Linked DNA regions of Ovis aries. The protein of the gene in region 1 interacts with the protein of each later gene in a biochemical or structural test. Links are inferred from orthologs where the notes say so. Each region holds a gene or a part of one and is shown on either strand. Other genes may lie near its edges.

Evidence for each region. The genes of interacting proteins can lie anywhere in the genome.
Region 2: the proteins of APOA1 (region 1) and haptoglobin form a complex in vitro, tested with the Homo sapiens proteins (2 studies listed by BioGRID and IntAct, with this or other methods). The link is inferred for Ovis aries from reciprocal best matches to the Homo sapiens genes APOA1 and HP.
Region 3: the proteins of APOA1 (region 1) and LCAT form a complex in vitro, tested with the Homo sapiens proteins (6 studies listed by BioGRID and IntAct, with this or other methods). The link is inferred for Ovis aries from reciprocal best matches to the Homo sapiens genes APOA1 and LCAT.

Annotation. Positions count from the first base shown.
Region 1 is NC_056068.1:27,235,541-27,239,876, forward strand, and holds APOA1 (apolipoprotein A-I), read right to left. Parts: upstream 2,907-4,336; 5' UTR 2,768-2,906; intron 2,570-2,767; 5' UTR 2,550-2,569; coding exon 2,507-2,549; intron 2,325-2,506; coding exon 2,171-2,324; intron 1,572-2,170; coding exon 971-1,571; 3' UTR 904-970; downstream 1-903. UniProt on the Homo sapiens protein: Participates in the reverse transport of cholesterol from tissues to the liver for excretion by promoting cholesterol efflux from tissues and by acting as a cofactor for the lecithin cholesterol acyltransferase (LCAT).
Region 2 is NC_056067.1:38,561,986-38,566,608, forward strand, and holds the start of haptoglobin, read right to left. Parts: upstream 2,984-4,623; 5' UTR 2,954-2,983; coding exon of another isoform or gene 2,949-2,953; 5' UTR 1,383-2,948; coding exon 1,321-1,382; intron 808-1,320; coding exon 734-807; intron 453-733; coding exon 354-452; intron 76-353; coding exon 4-75; intron 1-3. UniProt on the Homo sapiens protein: As a result of hemolysis, hemoglobin is found to accumulate in the kidney and is secreted in the urine. Haptoglobin captures, and combines with free plasma hemoglobin to allow hepatic recycling of heme iron and to prevent kidney damage.
Region 3 is NC_056067.1:34,984,703-34,989,292, forward strand, and holds the start of LCAT (phosphatidylcholine-sterol acyltransferase precursor), read right to left. Parts: upstream 2,984-4,590; coding exon 2,830-2,983; exon of another isoform or gene 2,620-2,829; intron 2,116-2,619; coding exon 1,959-2,115; intron 1,883-1,958; coding exon 1,767-1,882; intron 1,673-1,766; coding exon 1,577-1,672; intron 1,495-1,576; coding exon 1,270-1,494; intron 333-1,269; coding exon 1-332. Other genes in the region: SLC12A4 (solute carrier family 12 member 4), read right to left, coding at 3,756-4,071, 4,187-4,374, 4,546-4,590. UniProt on the Homo sapiens protein: Central enzyme in the extracellular metabolism of plasma lipoproteins.

The DNA.
Region 1 (4,336 bases):
AAGGGCAACCTAGGGCATCCTGCTATTCAGTCTTGGAAATGAGTTCACATCTCCAAGCTCTAGCTTCTGCATCCATACCACCCAGGATCTGGGAAAGCGTACAGTGAGATGATGGATATGAAAGCATCTTGGAGATTAGAATGAGCTAGTTACTTGCAAGAGGTGGTGATTATTTTTCTTAGGTCAGAATACAGGGGCTGGCAGGCTTGGAGCCATGAAGATGGGGCTAGCGCTGCTGAGCCTGAGGAAACAGCAGCTGTTCTGGAGCTGGGTGGGAGTGTGAGGAGTGGCAAGAGGCCCTGGTGACAAAGAATGTGTTTGTTAAAGTACATTTTGAATTAATAAGGGAGGAAGGAGCAAGCGCCAAGCCCTTCATTTGAACCTGCCCTAGGAAGGAACCACAGGAAGGTTACTGTGGGAACCTTGAAGTCCACAGGCTCATTGAGGTCCCTCCAACCTCAGCTGCCCTTGAGCAGAAGGGCTGGGGAGCTATGTCCTCTGCCGGGAGAAACGCTGGGCACAGGGAGCCCACCTCTCCCAGCAAAGCCAGTACTTCCTGCTTGAAGCTCTTTGAGGGCACCTGCATTGGATCATCTGTCACTTTGCCTGGTCCTCTCTTTCCTTCCTGTTTGGGCCTCCTAATGAAAGAGCATCTCCTGCCCCACCCTTCAGCCCCCAGACAAGCAGTCCCTGTAACATTAAGGCCCTGAGAGGCCAGTGTTTGGAGCTCAGGACTCCATTGGGACATCACCAGGTGTCCCTGACCACTACCCCCTGGAGGCCCCTCCAGGATCCCCCCATGCCCATTCTCCCCAAACAGAATTTTTGGCTTTTGGAAAACTTTATTGTTTAAAAATCATCATCGAATCTTCAAACAACAACAAAAAAAACCCATCACGCGCGTTCCACTCCGGAAATGTTTATTCTAAGAAACCGAAGAGATGCCCAGGGTGGGGCAGCCCGAGGCATCTCACTGGGCGTTCAGCTTCTTGGAGGCCTCGTCGATGGCGGCCAGGATGCTGACCTTGAGGCTCTCCAGCACGGGCATCAGGCCCTGGCGGAGGTCCTCCAGCGCCGGCTTGGCCTTCTCGCCCAGCGCCTTCAGCTGCTCGGTGGCCTTGGCGTGGTACTCCGCCAGGCTGCCGCCGCCCTCCTTGAGCGCCTCCAGGCGCGCGGTCAGCCGCTGGCGCAGGTCGTCGCTGTAGGGCGCCAGCTGCTGCCGCAGCGTCTCCACGTGCGCGCGCGCGCGGTCGCGGAGCTCCTGGGCCAGCGGGCTCAGCTTGTCCTGCAGCTCCTGCACCTTCTGGCGCGCGCCCTCGCGAAACTCCTCGCCCAGCGGCGCCACCTTCTGGCGGTAGATCTCCACCTCCTCGTGCCACTTCTTCTGGAACTCGTCCAGGTAGGGCTGCACCTTCTGCCTCACCTCCTCCAGGTCCTTGTGCATCTCCTGCCTCAGCGACGCTGTCTCCTTCTCCAGGTTGTCCCAGAACTCCTGGGTCACCGGGCCCAGCTGTTCACGCACTTTGGACAAGGTGCTGGCCAGGGTGTCCCAGTTGTCCAGGAGTTTCAGGCTGAAAGGGGAGAGAGAGGAGGGCTCAGGCTAAACCTCCTGGGCCCCCTGGCTACCCCCAGAGCTGCAGCCCAGCGCCCGTGCTTGCCCCGTGTGAGACCTGGGCACACCTGTGCCTGAATGTGGGGTAGCTGGGGACAGATCCTTAGCCTAGCGTCTCCCATCCACGGTCTGCCCCCCACTCCCCACTGCATCCCATTGACCAGATGGATGCAGGAATTAGAAGGAGATAGAGCTGAAGCTGGTTTTGGTGCCTGATCCTGTCTGTCCCCAAAGGTGGGCCTTTTAAGGACCTAGTCTCTACTCTTCCAGCCCATTCTCCTCTCTGAAGACAGCCATCTCTGTTGCTGGCTGGAGCTGAGAAGGGAGTTAAGAATAGGCAAGGGCAGAGTGCAGTGCGGAGAATACTGACCAGACAGCGCTGGTCTGCCCCTTACTGGGGGGCCCTGATCCTGCTTGTGGATCCCACTTCTTGCTTCTATGGGGCCCATCAAATAGGAGGTGGGGGTTGGGCCAGTCTGGCTGCTTCTTCCCACAGGCTTCTCCATCCCCCAGCACCAACACCCCTGACCCCTGCCCCAGGCACAAGCGGGTTCTTACTTGAGCTGTTTTCCCAAAGCGGAGGCTTCAAATTGGGCCACATAGTCTCTGCCACTATCCTTGATTGCTTCCACATACACGGTGGCAAAATCCTTCACCCGATCCCAGGACGACTGTGGCTCATCTTGCTGCCAGAAATGCCGAGCCTGGCTCCCTGGGAAGGAGAGGGGAGACCCAGATCAGACCAGCTCTGGGCTGGGATCTAAGCAGAAGTGCTTGGCAGGGGAGAGGGGTGGAAAGGAGTAATTCTGCTTCCTGGGCCCAGGAGGGTGGTCCGCAGGGGTTCAGGGAGAAGCCTCCCCCGAATCGTTGGCTCCCTAGGTTCGGGGCACCTACCCGTCAGGAAGAGCACAGCCAAGGTCAGCACCACGGCTTTCATCTTGAAGGGATGTGGGTGACCTGGAGGAGAAGAGGGGCCCAGCTGAGCAGGGCTTGAAGAAGCCCATGCATCCCCTACTCACTCCAGCCAGGGAGGAGGAGGCGGGGCACAGGGTGGGGAGGGCCAGGGGTCCAGAGCCCCCAGCCTGGGGTAGAGGCTCCGGCCAGCATCCCAGAGCCTCAAATGCCTAGAGCTGGGGAGCGGGTAGCAGCACTTACCTCAATGGCCAGCAGTCTAATCAGCCAGCTCTCCCCCAGCCTATTTATGTGTCCAGGCAGGGCTGGGCTCAGAGGCTGATAAGCCCAGCCCAGGCCTTGCTGCTGCTCACTGGTCCTGGCGATGTGGAACTCAGAGTTCAAGGATCAGCTCTGTCCCTGGGGCCAGACAAATAGAGCAGGCAAACAGGAAGCTACGGGGGCTGCAGGGCCAGGGATCAAGGGTTCCAATAGGGGTGGGAGGGGGTGGGTACAGGCTTGCAGGTCCCCAGAGTCGGGGTCAGCTGCACCGGCCCATCTCCTCCGTGGGGATTGTGTGCCTGCCATTGTCCATTGTGCCATCGCAGCGGGTGAGAGGAAGGAAGGAGGAAAAACACAGAGGCTGCCAAGGCCGGCTGGGACTCCTCCACTCAAGAGGTATTCTCCCCTGCTGGCCCCTCGCATTCCAGGGTGATTATCTCACCCCCACCCTGCCCCAGCTTCACAAAGGCAGCAGAGGTTTCTCCCATCAAGGCTGTCCCATCTCTCTCTCACCCCCACCCCTCGCTCTAGGCCCTCGCAGACCTCCCAGACTGGAAAGCAAAGGGAACCTTGTGCTTGGAGGCTGCCTGAGGAGAGAGAGGAGGGTACTCAGTGGCCCCCAGACTTTGAGACGTCTAACATTTCCAAACATACTCTAGAGACCAACACAGAGTTGCCAACTTTTCATTTTGCCATCTTACGCACCGCCACTCCCAACCTGACCCAAACCCTACCATCAGCCGTAACCAACCATAATCTCTTCCAAACCGATTTTTTTTCAAGTCTCTATTGAATCTGTTACAATATTGCTTCTGTTTTATGTTTTGGTTTTATGGCCGTGAGGCGTGTGGAATCTTAGCTCCCTGACCAGAGATTGGTACACCCCCTGCATCGGAAGGCGAAGTCATAACCACTTATCCTCCCACAGAAATTCCAAGATTATTTTTTAAAGAACTTCCCTGGCGATCCAGTGGTTAGGATTAAGGGCTTTCCCTGCCAAGGGTCTGGGTTCCATCTCTGGTTGGGGAACTAAGATCCCTCAAGTGGAGAGGCATGGACAAATAAAAAAGATTTTTTAACACTGAAAAAGGGCATGATCTCTGAATAAAGGACAGTCACTTAAATGGGATACATAGATCTTTGCATTGTTCATTTTGGCCTTGCATCCCACACAAGTGAGAATGGACACCATCCCTCAGGGATGGCTGATGTCGAGGAAGGACCTCTGGACTGCTAGCGGCAGGAGCCTGTTCTCTTATTTCATCCATTTTTGCCTTCAACTTGCAAAATCCTGGAGGAAGCTCATGAGCCCAGTATGCAATCTGAGTTTGGTTTCCTATCAGTAAAATGAAGACAAAAATGGGAGTGGCTGGAGGACAGACCCAGGGAAGTTGATGCTATGTGTTCATTGGTGTTTACAGTGACATTTCCTGAGATTTCTCCTGGAAGGTGTGAGACCCACAACACCAGGTCGCCGACAGGGCCTGGGTCATAGAACCTGTGAGCATGCAAGCAGACAGGAGTTTTGAGATCAGCGTCTCTCCACCCCCA
Region 2 (4,623 bases), on another chromosome or scaffold:
TACCTTCTTCACATTCGGGGAGTTGCGGTCCAATGTCCTTGTTTATCCATTGCTTATTGTTAAAAGTATACACCCCTGAAACAAAAAGAAAAAAAAATGAGCCAAAAGCTGCACCTAGCACTAGAAGAGAAGGTGTTTAAAGGGCAGAGTCAGAGAAGTAGGAGCAGGGAGGGCTGGGGAAGAGGAGCAAGACAGGAGCACTATGCTAAAAGCCAAGTGCTGGGGGCGCCAGTAAAGCTCAGCAGGACAGACAATGGGCAAGGTGACTGTGGCAGTCGTGGCAATAGTGGAGACGGTCTCAAGGCAGTCCGGGGTTGGGACAGGAGGACCCGGAGGCATTGGCCCAGGCTTACCATTTCCAGCACGCAGTTTGTAATATTTGTCACACTGATAGCGAACCGAGTACTCCACGTGGCCATTGGCAATCTCGGGGGCCTTTGGGCAGCTGCCGGCTGCAAAGGAAAACAGGAAGACAAGGTTCATTTTCAGAAACTGCCCCTAGAGACTGGAAAAATCAGGAGAGAAGAAACAGCATATCAACCTCCCACACCCCAAACGGAAGCCCAGGAGAGATTGCTGGCTGGCTGGCTCCCCAATGTTCTTTACGATACTGAAAGACCAGAGATCAGGATAAGGAGCAATTGGATTTTCCTGGAGAGCATGCAGATCTGATGGGCCCAAGTGGGATGCAGCAATGCGGCCAGGTACAGCCCTCGCCCAGAGGCAGACCTACCTGCAGCCTCACTGCCAGTTTCCACTGCAAGAAGCTGCCCACAGAGCAGGAGAGTGATGACAGCTGGAAGGACGCTGCAGAGAAGACAGAAAGGAGGGCGCTGCTGGTCTCCCCGCTTCAACACACACACTCCCCTCCTGTTACCTAGAAACCCCTCACCCACCCACATGCATACTGTAGCAGCTTCCCAGTCACAGAGGTTCCCATGTGTTCCATGCTGCTGGGAATTCTACAGAAGCTTCAGAGAAGAGCAAGGAAGATTAGGAAGGGATTGGGCCTCAGTGTGTAGCAGGATTCAGGAAACACTAAATTGTTGACAACATATGAGCTCCTCAGCAAAGAGAAGCCTCCCTTGGGGTGGGAAGCACCCTGAGGTGCTGGGCTACGAGGGTTCCACTAAAGAATGTGGGTATCTAGACAATGGGGTGGTGGTGGGCTTATCATTATGCTACTCTCTCTACTTTGGGGAATTTTTCATAATAAGAGGTTCCCTAAAATATAAAACACTGATGTAGTTGTTTCTATTATTTTATGAGAATTTGACTTCAGGAAGTCATATAGCGAACCCCCAAATTCCAGAAGGTTACCTGGATGATAACGGACTCCGCAGAAGCTTGACTGTGCACATGGGCATCAGCGCACAGGCCATACCCCCCCGTGGACCATCTCCCTGGAAGATGGCAACTACTCAGAGATGGCTTGGTTAAGTTCCTAGTTTCATTATTTCAACATTTCAGAAAAAAAATTTGTCTGTTTTGATAAAATCTGAGTGCCTTGTGTCACTCAAATGTTTCGCTTCTGGTCTTTCTCATTATATGTTTTTTTTTTTTTTTAATCTGCTAATAGGCATATTCAAAATGCCAGGGAGAAGTCCTTGGCAGTCCAATGGTTAGGACTCAAAGCTTTCACTGCAAAGGACCCAGGTTCAATCCCTGGTTGAAGAACTAAGATCCCGCAGCCATGTGGTGTGGCCAAAAAAGGGGGAAAAAACGTCAGGAGGTCTACCACAGGAGCTACTGGCTTCCCCACAAAGATGAAAACTTTATAATCTCAAGGAAAAAGCTATTCCTTAGAGAGAGTCACGTCTCATGGGAAAGAAGACAGCACCATCTGAAAACGTTACCTTTTATGGACACAGAAAAGCAGAGAATTTTTGCACAGTAAACCTTTATTCACTATGTGTGTGCTCAGTCACCGAGTCATGCCCAACTCTTTGCGACCCAGTGGACTGTAGCCCACCAGGCTCCTCCATCCTTGGGATTTCCCAGGCAAGAATACTGGAGTAGGGTTGCCATTCCATTCTCCAGGGGATCTTCCCAACCTAGGGATCGAATCCTGCATTGTCAGGCAGATTCTTTACCACTGAGCTGCCAGTGACACCCCAGGGAGAATGTTACAAAAAGAAGTGGTATGGGCAGCACAGGAATATGGCAAGAACCTTGAAGCTGATGTGCAAATGAATGAAATTTGGAAAACAATGAGGTAATGACTGAGAGGACTGCTCCAAATTCATAATTCCTAGAAGTCAAGGACCAAGCTTTAATCCATTTCCAATATCTCCTCCAGAACCTTATGCAGCACATAGAACATAGAGGATCCTCTACAAACACACTACTATTTGGAAGATAATTCTTATCATAAATACTGGTTGAGCCTTGGTGCTTCCTGGCTCTAAAACCAAACACAGGAGTAGATTCCCCCAGGCAAAGAAGAGTGAAGTGAAGTGAAGTGAAGTTGCTTAGTCATGTCCAACTCTTCGCGACCCCGTGGTACTGTAGCCCACCAGGCTCCTCTGTCCATGGGATTTTCCAGGCAAGAATACTGGAGTTGGTTGCCATTTCCTTCTCCAGTGGATCTTCCCAACCCAGGGATCGAACCCAGGTCTCCCACATTGTAAGCAGATGCTTTTACCATCTGAGCCACCAGGGAAGTCTAAGAAGAGTGAGATCCACCCTAAATAATCAGGAGTCAGAGCCAAGGACAGAACAAACCCTGAGAAGCTTTGAGAGGATAAAAGATACTTGCACGCTGTGCATCAGAAAGCAAACAAAGTCTATGATTTAGTCCATTTGCCTTATTTTTCTTCGTTATATTTTTTGCATTTCTCCTGTAGGCCTCTCCTGTACCCAGGCTGTCATGTAGATAAAAGATATATCCAAAGAAGGATGAAATAATCCAGAGAAAAGTGAGGGATAGGAGCAAACTGTGGACTCACCTCATCTTTGGTGTGTCTGGCTCTGGAAGAGGAGTGCTGTTGGGGGCACCTGCTGATGCTTTTATGTCCCCAGTATCTCACTCCACCCCCTTCTTGATTTTGTAATTGCTGTGTCTCCACACTTTGGCCTTATTAAGGTTACTCACATTTTCCAGTAACAAAGCCACAAACAACCTCTCTGTTAAAGACTTCAGCTCTTGCTTCATGCTTATGTTTCCCCTGGTGTTCTTCATGCTTGAGCCAAAGAATCCTGGCCACATCACTACCCCATGCAGCTGCCAAAGGGTTTCCCGAAATGAGCCAGTGTGCAGGACAGGGGCAGGAACCGTCAATCTGGGTCTCTTTGTTCTGAATGCTTTTCAGCACTGGACAAAGCCCTTCTTGTGGTTGTTTCAAATCCATTAGAGACACTCCTGCAATCTGGTTGAGACGGGGCTCTCAAGTAAACATTTCCTTTTCACAATCATGTCCCCCACACTGTGTTGCCATCTTCCTATTCTGCAAAGCTCTCCAACCTGAAATCAGTAAAATGTACTCATTGTGTCTTCTCTGATTGCTTGTTCCAACAAATCACACAGAATGGTTAAGGCTATAGTGTAGATGCAAACTATACTCAATGGTAGTGCTTATCATGGTTTTATTGTTGTTTTTCAGTTGCTCAGTCGTGTCCAGCTCTTTGCAACCCATGGGCTACAGCACGCCAGGTTTCCCTGTTCTTCACTATCTCCTGGAGTTTGCTCAAACTCATGTCCATTGAGTCAGTGATGCCATCCAACCAGCTAATCCTCTGTCACCCCCTTCTCCTGCCTTCAATCTTTCCCAACATCAGGGTTTTTTCCAGTGAGTCAGCTCTTTGCATCAGGTAGCCAAACTATTGGAGCTTCAGCTTCAGCATCAGTTCTTCCAATGAATATTTAGGGTCGATTTCCTTTAGGATTGACTGGTTTGATTTCCTTGCTGTCCCCAGGACTCTCAAGAGTCTTCTCCAGCACCATAGTTCAAAAGCATCAATTCTTTGGCACTCAGCCTTCTTTATGTTCCAACTCTCACCTTCATACATGACTACTGGAAAAACCATAGCTTTAACTATACAGACCTTGTTGGCAAAGTGATGTCTGTGCTTTTTAATATGCTATCTAGGTTTGTCATAGCTTTTCTTCCAAGGAGCAAGCGTCTTTTAATTTCACAGCTGTAGTCACTATCCACAGTGATTTTGGAGCCCACGAAAATAAATTAAGTCTCTCACTGTTTCCATTGTTTCCCCATTTATTTGCCATGAGGTGATGGGACTGGATGCCATGATCTTCGTTTTTTTAATGTTGCATTTTAGGCTGATTTTCATTGTCCTCTTTCACCTTCATCAAGAGGCTCTTTAGTTCCTCTTCATTTTCTGCCATAAGGGTGGTGTCATCTGCATATCTCAAGTTATTGATATTTCTCCTGGCAATCTTGATTCCAGCTTGAGCTTCAGCCAGCCCAGCATTTCACATGATGTACTCTGCATGTCAGTTAAATAAGGTGACAATATACAGCCTTAATGTATTTCTTTCCAAATTTTAAACCAGTCAGTTGTTCCAGGTCTATTTCTAACTGTTGCTAACTGCAAATGTCTGCAGCTGAGTACTATTCAGTTTTAATAATACTCATTTCATTTATAAAAGCCCAGTGGTTCTTA
Region 3 (4,590 bases), on another chromosome or scaffold:
AGGGTCTGTGTAGGGGAAGCCGTGGTCATAGATGTAGGTGCTAGGAGTGGGCAGGCCTATGCCATACAGACAGTACACTTCCACGCCAGGTGCTGGGAGGCCTGCCAGCAGGTCACGTGACTGGAGCCACATGTACCAGCCTTCCTCAAAGTGCAGGTCTGTAAAGAAGCGCTGCATGTCACGGCTTGTGTAGTTGATGCTGGGGGTGGAAATGAACACGTGGTCCTCAGGCCACGTCTGCCTGGCAGGAAACATCCAGGGTGACGTTGTCGTCATGCGCTGCTCTTCTTTCAGCTTGATGCTGGACATGATTGGGATGCCTTGGTTGTCACCTGGGGACAGAGAGTAAGGTGGGACAGGGCTACTCCAGCCAGCAGGCCTGGCTACTCCAGGCCCACAACTTGCCCCCCAGCCCAAGCCAGTTGGACACTCAATCTTGTCCTTACCCAATCCAAACACAGACTCCAAGTCCTAGACTAGAACCGGCCTAGCATTCAAGAAGTGCTCATGTGTACTTGTTAACTGAGAAGCCCCCATGGCACCTCTGACAGGCAGAGCTGGAGGGCTACAACAGGAGGGTAGGGGAGCAGTGTTTCATGAGGACGGGAGTATGAGTTGGGGGGATATAGTGCTGGCAGTTCTGTCTCAGGCAAGTGTCTGTTGACCCTTGTGGCCTGTGCTGCACAGGGCTCAGAGCTGTGTTCTGGGAAGGATGAAATGAGACCCATCTCTGTTTGACACCCATTGATGTGGTCTGGTGTTTCCTTCACTTCAGCTCCTAGGGGTAAGACCATGTCCAGGTGTGCTTAGCCTACAGTACATGCTCCACACGAGGTATCTGTGCCACTCCTCAGGGAAGGGCAGGAGGGGCTCCTGGGGTCTGGCCCTGGCTTTGGCAGATCTGCTGTGGCCTGGCTTAGGGAAGATCCGCGTGCAAAGCACCTCCTGGGAGCTGAGTGGGTAGACCTGAGGCCAGAAGGAACAGACTTCAGTCAGACTGAGCAATGAGTCAGGTTGCTGGGATTCACTTCATCTTTGTTTACCTCCCCTTTATCATCGCTGAGACAAACTGTCAGCAATTTGTCTAACAGTCCAGGCTGGACTCACTGCTCTCCAAGGACAATGAAAGGGGCTATTTCCCAGAAGTGGTAGACAACACCCCCCAGCTGGGCATTGTGAGAAAACAGGAGTAGGGCTTAGCCCACAGTCAGCTTCTTTCCACCACGCCCCCACATCCTATGGGACCCAAGTGATCACAGGCCCTCTCACCTGAGGCCAAGACTAACATAGGCTTGATGGAGCCTCCCCAGGGAGCCCCGAGAGAGATGAAGCCGTCGATGAAGCGGTCCTTCCAGGTCTGGGGTTGGCGCAGTAAGAAATAGAGCAGGTGCAGGCAGCCAAGGCTGTGCCCAATGAGGAAGACCGGCTTCCCGTACGTGGCATGCATCTCCTCCACCAGCCCAGCAAGCTTCAGGTAGTACTCTTCCTGCTGGCCTGCAGCGGGGATGGGTCAGCATGGCTGGAGGTGGGGGCCTCTGCCCTGCCCCCCAAGCCCCCTAAACATAGACACACTCACTAGGCTCCAGCCGCCAGTCGTAGGGGGCGGCCCGCACTGTCTCATCCCGCACGTACCCGTTGTTGACCAGGTTCTGTACCAGTGTATGCATATAACCTGTGGGGAAGGCGGCAGCACCAGGGGCTATGGCCATGGCCCCTGCAAGCCCAACACAGCCTAGAGCCCCACCTCTCCCTCAGCACACACACACCTGCCAACTTGCTGCTGTCCAGGTACTCGACAGAGTAGGTCTTGCCAAAGCCGGGGACACGGATCTGTACACCGGGGGCATTGGACACCCGCCCAGAGCTGCGATTGTACACAACCCTGGGGGCAGTGGGACATTCAGCAGACCCGGCCAAGGAGCAGGGCAAGGGACTAGGCCAGAGGGGACAGCACCCACCTGGTGTTGTCGATCCAGCAGTCTACCCCAAGGGGCAGGAACATGTTGAGATCTAGCCAGATGGTGAAAAAGTCCTCTGTCTTGCGGTAGCACATCCAGTTCACCACACTCGGTTTATCCAGCTTGGCTTCCAGCTGATTCCCCAGGCAGCCGGGCACTGCGGGCACCAGCCTTCACTCTGGATCCCTCCCATTCCCCTGTGGTGGACCCCGCCCTAGCCTCACCTCCCCGACACCACAGTCACTAGCCCCACCCCTTCCTCTCCTATACACACCGTCAACCCCCAGAGACTAAGGACAAGATCCTTTCTGTTCATATCCACTGCTCCGTCTCCCCAAAGCTCAGACTCCCCCAGAGAGGGAAGATCCAGTGGCCAAGGCCACTGACCCCTGCCCCCACAGAGCAAACAGCTAGCATGACTCTCCATCTCTGCCAAAGTCCAAGAGGAGAACAAATAGTGTGGGGAGCGGGGGCAGGACTTGACAGGCCTCTCCTGCTCTCCTGGGCTGGGCACCTCGTCCTTGCAGGGGTGGGGGCTGAGGAAGGAGCGGCGGGGGGGAGAGAGGGGGCTGGACCCAGGGTCTGGCTACAGCTACAGCTGACCACAGCTTGTAATGCCCTGACCAAGCCCTCCGGCACACCCACCCGCCACTCCACCCACCTGGGGGAGACACCTTGGAGACACAGGAACAGTGTGGTGCGAGAAGGGGTGGATTTCTCCTCAGGACAAGCCTCTGGCCCCTCCAAACACTGAGTTAAAAATCGGGGCTAACGCATGGGCAGAAGGGCATCGGCAGGCTGTGCTACCAGGGGCGGGGGCCCTGGTTCCCCAAGGGCTATCCCGGGTGTATCGGGCCTGGCGGGGGCTTACCGAGGATGACGGGCCGTGTGTGGTTACTGAGCTCGGCCTTGGGCGTGGTGTGCGGGGGGAACAGCACATTGAAGAGCCAGAAGGGGGCAGCAGGGGGGAGCAGCAGCCCCAGCAGCAGCAGGACCCACTGCCGCGGGGAGCCGGGCAGCCCCATTCCAGCCCTAGTGCCTGGTGCCCGGTAAAGCGGTCCTGGGCTGGCCTTATCTGGAGTAGGGGTGGGAGGGGCCCCAGGGCCAGTGGGAGGGACAGCCTGGCCAATGGGGCTGGCCAGCGGTTGCCGGAAAGGGGCACAGCCTCAGGGAGCCGGCTCTGGGCCTGGATTCAGTCCCGCCTTCTTCCCCCGTGCCAGGGGAAACAGAGCCGGGGCAGCGGGAGGCCCAGAAGTACACAATGTTTTATTGAAAAAAGTCAGGCTTCAGCTGGCTGGTTCCATTCAACTTGGCTTGGTGGGGGTCCCCGCCCACAGGAGCTGAGTCAGATCTTCCTGCAGGCGGGCTGGGCTGGATCCCTCCCTTGTCACCCTTCCCCTCCTCTCTGATGGTGACATCCAAACAATAAATATGCAATAAATAGCGCTCCCGGGCCAGCTGCCTTCAATCCCCATGTCAGCCCCCACCAGTCTTCTCCAGTCAGGACAGGCATCCTGGCGTGCTGGACGGGCAAGTCCCCGAACCTCTCAGGGTCCCGAGGGACCTCAGATCCATCTCCATGGCCAGGTCTGGGCCCAGTCTCCAAGGAGACCTAGTAAAGCTGGGTCCAGGGTGAGGCCAGGCAAAGTGGGGCTGGCAGGTGGGTGCTGGAGGGGGGCTTTGTGTTACCCTGGATACCTTCACTCTAGGCCACAAGTCTATACTGGGCTCAGGAGTAGATGGTGATGACTTCACGGCCACCGCCACGTACCAAGAGCACTCGTTCGAGGCCCTCGGTCAGCACCTCCAGGAACTCCATGTCTGTGGGGCATCAGTCAAGGAAGTAGCGCCCAGGGAAGCACCCAGGGAAGTCTGGCCCATCAAGCAGAGCTGGAGTACCCTGCAAACGCCCAGGGCATCCAGGGACAGGAGCTCCCAGCCTGACCTCATATACTGCCCATCTCCCCACCAAAGGATCCAGTTCTCATCACCCTCGCTGTTCTTGGGCGGTCCGGGCATGTTCAGTAGGACCAGGCGGGCGTCATGAGAGCGTGTGACAATGACTTCATTGAGCTTCACAGCCGTGTGCATGCGCCGCACATTAGACTGGTCCCTGCAGATAATGTGGCTGATCGTGGATCCCAACCCTGGATCACCCCACTGGGCTCATCTGCCCCCATCCCACCCCCAGGCTGGGATACGGCTGGGTCCATTTCTGCTGCACTCACGGCTTAATATGCACCAGCTCCCGGAAGTTGTCGGGCGTGTGGCTGGGGTCCCAGGGTTCCGTGGCCATGTACTTGTCCCGGGTCCATGTCATCTGGATCTTGTCAGTCCCAGCTGCAGACTCATCCTCCTCGTCCGAGTACAGGCTCTCTAGCCGCAGGGCTGAGTGCCGGTCCTTGACTAGCTGGGCCTGAGGACAACCAGAGGAGGTCGCCTCAGTGCCGTGGGGAGCCAAGCTGGCCCAGCGTGATCACCCAGCCTCAGGGAAAATGAGGGGGGCCGCAGTGAGTCATTCTGATGCCCCCACTTGATGGCCTCTCCCCAAGTCAGACCCTGCCCTGAGCTGAGAAAGGTCACTGACCTCTCGCTCCCGCTCTGTCTTGGTCAGCCTCATTTGCCGCAGCAT